Oryzias latipes: one gene and its partner. The protein of the gene in region 1 interacts with the protein of each later gene in a biochemical or structural test. Links are inferred from orthologs where the notes say so. Each region holds a gene or a part of one and is shown in the gene's direction. Other genes may lie near its edges.

What was found.
Region 2: the proteins of liprin-alpha-1 (region 1) and git1 form a complex in vitro, tested with the Homo sapiens proteins (2 studies listed by BioGRID). The link is inferred for Oryzias latipes from reciprocal best matches to the Homo sapiens genes PPFIA1 and GIT1.

What each region holds. Positions count from the first base shown.
Region 1 is NC_019861.2:2,121,399-2,125,213, forward strand, and holds part of liprin-alpha-1, read left to right. Parts: intron 1-2,081; coding exon 2,082-2,183; intron 2,184-2,371; coding exon 2,372-2,536; intron 2,537-2,632; coding exon 2,633-2,707; intron 2,708-3,815. UniProt on the Homo sapiens protein: May regulate the disassembly of focal adhesions. May localize receptor-like tyrosine phosphatases type 2A at specific sites on the plasma membrane, possibly regulating their interaction with the extracellular environment and their association with substrates.
Region 2 is NC_019871.2:27,394,036-27,397,850, reverse strand, and holds part of git1 (ARF GTPase-activating protein GIT1), read left to right. Parts: intron 1-2,151; coding exon 2,152-2,304; intron 2,305-3,797; coding exon 3,798-3,815. UniProt on the Homo sapiens protein: GTPase-activating protein for ADP ribosylation factor family members, including ARF1.

The sequences.
Region 1 (3,815 bases):
TTCTCTGAGCTAGTGACACATTCTCTGAGTTAGAGAAACCTTTTCTGAGTTAGAGAAACCTTTTCTGAGTTAGTGAAACCTTCTCTGAGTTAGAGAAACCTTATCTGAGTTAGAGAAACCTTCTCTGAGTTAGTGAAACCTTCTCTGAGCTAGTGAAACTTTTTCTGAGTTAGTGAAACCTTTTCTGAGTTAGAGAAACCTTCTCTGAGTTAGTGAAACCTTCTCTGAGCTAGTGACACATTATCTGAGTTAGTGAAACCTTCTCTGAGTTAGTGGAACCTTCTCTGAGTTAGTGGAACCTTCCCTGAGTTAGTGAAACCTTCTCTGAGTTAGTGAAACCTTCCCTGAGTTAGTGAAACCTTCTCTGAGTTAGTGAAACCTTCCCTGAGTTAGTGAAACCTTCCCTGAGTTAGTGAAACCTTCCCTGAGTTAGTGACACCTTCCCTGAGTTAGTGAAACCTTCTCTGAGTTAGTGAAACCTTCCCTGAGTTAGTGAAACCTTCCCTGAGTTAGTGACACCTTCCCTGAGTTAGTGAAACCTTCTCTGAGTTAGTGAAACCTTCCTTGAGTTAGTGAAACCTTCCCTGAGTTAGTGACACCTTCTCTGAGTTAGTGAAACCTTCCCTGAGTTAGTGAAAGCTTCCCTGAGTTAGTGAAACCTTTTCTGAGTTAGTGATACTTCTCTGAGTTAGTGAAATCTTCTCTGAGTTAGTGAAACCTTCCCTGAGTTAGTGAAACCTTCCCCGAGTTAGTGAAACCTTCCCTGAGTTAGTGAAACCTTCCCTGAGTTAGTGACACCTTCTCTGAATTAGTGAAACCTTCCCTGAGTTAGTGAAACCTTCTCTGAGTTAGAGAAACCTTCTCTGAGTTAGTGAAACCTTCCCTGAGTTAGTGAAACCTTCCCTGAGTTAGTGAAACCTTCCCTGAGTTAGTGAAACCTTCCCTGAGTTAGTGAAACCTTCCCTGAGTTAGTGAAACCTTCTGTGAGCTAGTGACACATTCTCTGAGTTAATGAAATCTTCCTTTGAGTTACTGAAACCTTCTCTGAGTTAGAGACACCTTCTCTGAGTTAGAGAAACCTTCTCTGTGTTAGAGAAACCATCTCTGAGTTAGAGAAACCTTCTCTGAGTTAGAGAAACCTTCTCTGAGTTAGAGAAACCTTCTCTGAGTTAGAGAAACCTTCTCTGAGTTAGAGAAACCTTCTCTGAGTTAGAGAAACCTTCTCTGAGTTAGAGAAACCTTCTCTGAGTTAGAGACACCTTCTCTGAGTTAGAGAAACCTTTTCTGAGTTAGAGAAACCTTCTCTGAGTTAGAGAAACCTTCTCTGAGCTAGTGACACATTCTCTGAGTTAGTGAAACCTTTTCTGAGTTAGAGAAACCTTCTCTGAGCTAGTGACACATTCTCTGAGTTAGTGAAACCTTTTCTGAGTTAGAGAAACCTTTTCTGAGTTAGAGAAACCTTCTCTGAGTTAGAGAAACCTTCTCTGAGCTAGTGACACATTCTCTGAGTTAGTGAAACCTTTTCTGAGTTAGAGAAACCTTTTCTGAGTTAGAGAAACCTTTTCTGAGTTAGAGAAACCTTCTCTGAGTTAGAGAAACCTTCTCTGAGCTAGTGACACATTCTCTGAGTTAGTGAAACCTTTTCTGAGTTAGAGAAACCTTCTCTGAGCTAGTGACACATTCTCTGAGTTAGTGAAACCTTTTCTGAGTTAGAGAAACCTTTTCTGAGTTAGAGAAACCTTCTCTGAGTTAGTGAAACCTTTTCTGAGCTAGTGACACATTCTCTGAGTTAGTGAAACCTTTTCTGAGTTAGAGAAACCTTCTCTGAGTTAGTGAAACCTTCTCTGAGCTAGTGACACATTATCTGAGTTAGTGAAACCTTCTCTGAGTTAGTGAAACCTTCTCTGCAGTGCTCTCTGTATTTCTGGGTTTCCTATGATGCCAGAGTTCTGCTGTGATTGAAATGTCTGTCTGTGTTTACATGAGAGCGGAGGGTTTCTCCGCCATGAAGCCTCACGGTGCACAGCGCATCAGTAACGGCTGCATGCCCCCTGTTCTCTTTGTGCTTCATGCTTCTTTAGGAGTTTGCTGCACTAACAAAGGAGGTGAACGTGTGCCGGGAGCAGCTTCTGGAGAAAGAGGAGGAGATCGCCGAGTTGAAGGCGGAGAGGAACAACACCCGGGTGAGTGAGATGCACACCTTTTTCCTTGGATCTAGCTAGCAACAGTTGTCAAAACAAAAACTCTTTTACTGTTTAACATTGACAACAAATCTTATGGAGACAAAAAACAGTTCATGGTTTCCAAAATGTGTAGTTTGAGAGCAGGAGCGAGGCTTCACTCTGGTCCTCCCTGTCTGTGGTGTGTGCAGCTCCTGCTGGAACACCTGGAGTGCCTGGTGTCGCGTCACGAGCGCAGTCTGAGGATGACCGTGGTGAAGAGGCAGGCTCAGTCTCCTGCTGGTGTCTCCAGCGAGGTGGAGGTCCTCAAGGCTCTCAAGTCACTTTTTGAACACCACAAAGCCCTTGATGAGAAGGTGTGTTTTTGTAGGGAATGTCCAACAGCTCCTGGTAGAATACTGTGCTTGATAAGGATGAATGAAGTTAAAAAGGTTTATGTTCCACCTTTGAAGGTAAGAGAGCGTCTTCGTGTTGCTCTGGAGCGATGCAGCGCTTTGGAGGAAGAACTCGCCATTTCACACAAAGAAGTGAGTAAACACTACAAACTCTGTTTGGGGCTTAGGATGTAAACGGGGTGTTTCGGCTCCAAGTTAGAAGAAGTGCGGCTACACTGGACTTTGTTTAGTATTTATTGAAGTCTCAAGAGCTCAGAGGCTGTTTGTTCATGCATGAATCTACCTGATGTCCTTCATCCGAGGACTGTGGTACATATAGCAGGTTCCAGATGTTATCTGAGATCGCTTCAGTCAGACTTTGCAGAAATCATGTCACACCAGGTTAGTAAATGCTGTGAGGCCATTTGAGCTTTATACAAATGCGTTGAAATGAATCTCATAAAGAACTTTGTGTGATGTTTCTTTGTCCCTCATGTTTTTGATGCCTGCACCAGCCACCCTTGTGAGGGACCAAAGGCTGATTTATGTGAGGTTTAATGCCTTTTGTGAGGCAGAGGGGAAAAAAAAACAAGCACAGGAACCGCGAGAATTGCCCCTTACCCCATAACTTCTGCTAGTTGCCTCTGCTTTTAGTTTAACCCGATGAAGCAGCAGAACATGTGAGGGTTTGTACCAGGCTCCAGAAAGACCTAGAGGAGAATTTTTTTCTCTCAATAACCTTTATTGCACATTTTTCAATTTACAGAAATTCACATTCAGTTGCACAATAAAGAAACAATTGTTACTATCAAACACACATATAAGACCAAACAACAATAATAGGAATAAGCCCTTTTTGTGTGTGTCCCTGCTGGACTTACAGCAGCAACAGAATGTTTAGGGAAGAGGGTTGATATGGAGACAGCGATGTGGTGACACTGATGCTACCATGCTATCATGCAACCATGCTATCATGCTAAAATACTCAGATGCTTTATTGCTGTGTGTCGCCTACATCTGATCACGGACCGGTTTAAAGTCAGACCATATTTTCACAGAGCGAACTTTAAGACGTGGAGGATAAATGCCACAAAAAGAATTCATAGAACATTAATAAAAACTGTATTTTATAAATATAATAACAGACACTTTCTGCTGGCTCTTGTAACATTACAGAGCCCAGCGTTGAGCTGAAAAAAGACCCCCCCCTCGTGAGAACAACTTTACCGTCAATGAGTAGAATCCAGAACATGATCCTGTT
Region 2 (3,815 bases), on another chromosome or scaffold:
TCCCTCCTTTTTATTTTCTTTAACAAAAATCCCAAATGACAGAATCTTTTTAACCAAACTATTTTCAGTTGAACATTTCCTTTGGAAATTGGATGAAAGATACAAAATTCTGCTAAATACAAGCTGTAAACGTGTTGGCAGAACAAAGGAGCTGGTGCTTTGTGATGTCATTGACAGTAAAGACGCAGCGCTGTCATGAGGGGAAAAGTTCATACCAAGGTTATGATAGTTAACGAAAACGAACGAAAAAACTCAAACTAGAACTGAAAAAACATTTTCGTTAACTGAAATAAAAATAAAAACGAGAGTTTTAAAAAAAAACGAAAACTAACTAAAACTGTTTGTGTGAATAAAACGAACTGAAACTAACTAATATTAACCCCAAAAAATCCTTCGTTTTCGTCTTTGTTAATACATAAGTCTTTTGGGTTGAAATAAAATCTATTTACTTCACGCTGCTAGTTTTACTGTGTATCTTCTGAACCTTACGGCATCACGTTGTCTGTGACGTCACATGATGTCTGTCAGACACTGCCGGCTAGCGTGGTCATAGACATTTACATGAGCGTGATGGCTGCATTAAAAGTTGGGAGAAAGCGGGAGAGTCCTATTTGGGACTGTTTTGAATATAACAGCGTCGAAAACAAAAGTAAGTGCCTTGTAGTCGAAGCAGGAGACAAAGTTTGTGGAACGCTCCTCAAAGGGAAAAACCCTACGAATCTAAAAGTACATTTAAAAAGCGCACACTAAAACGCAAATCAACAGTACCTAGACAAGCTAGCCTGTCGCCCGCCCTCCCCCGAAAAAGAAGCGAGAGCAGGTAACGTAATGCTGTCATCGGCTGTTGTATTTTCATTTAAGGATGGTTGTCCTTGAGTCCTCTGAATAATAAATGTTTCAAAATGTATCTTTGATTGAGTTTTTATTATAAAATACTTACTCTGGTGATTTTGAATCATGCACCTGACAAATATCCTAATTTACAAAAAAAAAAGGAAAAAACTAAAACTAACACTAAAACTAATACAAACTAAACTAAAACGAAGCAATTTCAAAAAATAAAAACTAGTAAAGCTGCCTCTAAAAACTAATTAAAACTAAATAAATTTAAAAACAAAAATTCAAAACGAAATAAAAACTAAAACTAATAAAAAATTTGAAACTATTATAACCTTGTTTCATACACAGTTTTTATAAATGTTCTTAGAAATCATTTACCGTAGTTACATTTATCCGCCGCGTCTTAAAGTTCCCTCCCTCCCCGGAAAGTTCCCTTTCCCTCCTGAAAAGATAGTCTGACTTCAAATGTGGTTAAATGTAGGCGACAAACAGAGCAGCTGATTAGCATAGCATGACAGGATTCAGCATGGTAGCATCAGTGTTTTAACGTCACCGCTGTCCCAGAATCAACACTTTTTATTCAACTTTCTGTTGATGCTGTAAGTCCAACAGCTTCATCATCCACTTCTGTCTGGATCCTGTTAAAAATCCTCACATGTTGCTGCTTCAGCAGCTTCAACTAAAAGCTAAACGGAGGCATTCATACATTTTGTGTAACGTTCTCCTGAGAGACTACCTTTCCCAGAATGCTTTGTGGGAAGTGGCCACAGTCGGGGACTGCCACATAGCTCCTGACTGACATCATCAGCTATTCCGAGTCCTCCTCAAAGAGGCTTTGTTCCTTCAGCGTGAGTTTGTGTCATTTGGAGTGCGAGGGGGGAAAAAAAGAAGAGATGGAGGGTTAGAAAAGAAAAGAGTTCTGTTCAGAGGCAAACAAGCTAACTGAGGGATCATCCTTTGCTGTTCAGACACAGCATTTTCACTGGAAGGGCCTTAAAAAGTCAAGACTGCAGTGATTGGGTTGTAAACAGTGGAGCTGAACCATTTAGAAAAACTAGTCTATGAAAGACATTTCAGTGGTTTGGCCCTGGAGTCTGAGCGTCCTTCAGACACAGGAAGCGGGGGAGGATGGGGCTCTGAGAGCCAGAACTGAGGCTCTACTATCTCCCTGTGACTCCAGCTGAGGACTAACCCTCTGCCTCGTACACAGCCTGAGGCTCAGTTTCCCCATAACTTCATGCAGCATGGACTTCCCTGTTGTCGTGTCCACCTGTCTGTCCTCTCACTCGCTCGTCCTCTGGTCCTTTGCAGAGTATGGACTCGTCAGACTTGTCCGATGGTCCCATAACCCTGCAGGAGTACCTGGAGGTGAAGAAAGCTCTGGCCTCCTCAGAAGCCAAGGTGCAACAGCTGATGAAGGTCAACAACAACTTGAGTGAGGAGCTCCGGCGCCTCCAGAAGGAGGTACGAGGAGGCAGTGGAGTCACGGAGTTACAGGAAACCAAATGATCTGATTATCCGTTTTCATTTAAAGCTGTTTGTTTGTATTTGTTTTAGGTTATAAAAGTCGTATTTTTAAGCCCAAGGGTTCAACAATTTTACGCCACTTTTTGTTCATTTTAAAGCAATAATGATGTGAAATTGATTCTCAAAAATGGATGTTTTCATACGTCTTTGTTGTTCATTAGTGAAAAGATGTCACGTAACCCTTGTGCTATCCTAGGCACTTCAACATTGGGAGTTGGGTCATCTAGTCCAGTGTTTTTCAATCAGAGACCAGAGATGGTCAAGTGTGCCGTGGGAAATTGCCCTCATTAACTGATCTAAAAACATTTCCCATCTCCAGGATTCAGCTCTGTGTTCATCCAAACAGGCCCTGATAAAACACTGAGTAGTTAGGAATATAAAAGATCATAAAATTATTTTTTCTTTGTGTTCATTTTATTCAATTAAAGACATTTTGATAAGAATGACGGTACCGCGATTTAGCTGCAGCTAAAGCCGCTTGCGGCAAAGTCCCGCCCCTCTGACTGTCTACGCCAATCATTCTTGACGGCTTAATCACATGTCATCAGTCTGACCAATCACAAGTGGTTAAAGTCTCCACTTCCTTGTTCCGATTTAGCTCATAAAGTCTCTCCGTTCTAAAGGAAAATACCAGCCAAAGCTCGTCTTTAGCGGTGTAGCTTTCCACAGAATCCGGTATCAGACCGTGGAACAAGTGAACAAAACATTGAATCGATCAATACAGACTTATTTTTTTTTTTTTTTTGGATGCTGGTGTGCCGCGGGGTCTTTGTCAGGGTTAAAGTGTGCCGTGGCTCAAAAAAGGTTGAAAAACACTGATCTAGACCCAATAGACAGTGCTCTGAACCTTTTTTCTTCAATGATTTGTGACCTTCACTGGTGTCCATGGATTACATGAAATCTTTCCACCTTTATCCACCTTTGTCATGGTAGGGAGAACAGGTCAACGTAAGGGTGGGGTCATCTAAGATAGCACAAGGGTTAAGCGCCCTTTTTGGGGGGAGATTGATTTGCAGGGCAGCTTTTCGAAACCTCCAGTGTTCTTGCTGAGAGGCTGCAGACAACGTCCCACATTTTGGTTGAGTTTTGACGCGCCTCATTCGTCTGTCATCTTTTATTTGGACTTTTCACTGAGTGTTGAGAACAAAAGCTCAGAAGCAAACATTCAACTATCAGACCATCCAGCAGCAGCGCTCTGCAAACGAGCCGTTCCTTCATCAGGCTCAGGCAGGTCCCCAATACAAATGAGAGAAATATACTGTAGAACTGATGTTACTGTGTGAAACCCCCTGTTTTTTAATGATTGTGAGCTTTTTCCAGCATGTTTTTCACCATTCAGTTTATGCCCCCCCCTTCCATTCCTACACCCTCCCCATGTTCCTCCCTCCATCCTGTCATCCCCCCCTTGCTCCCTTCCTTGCCTCTTATAGATTACCCGGATGCAGACA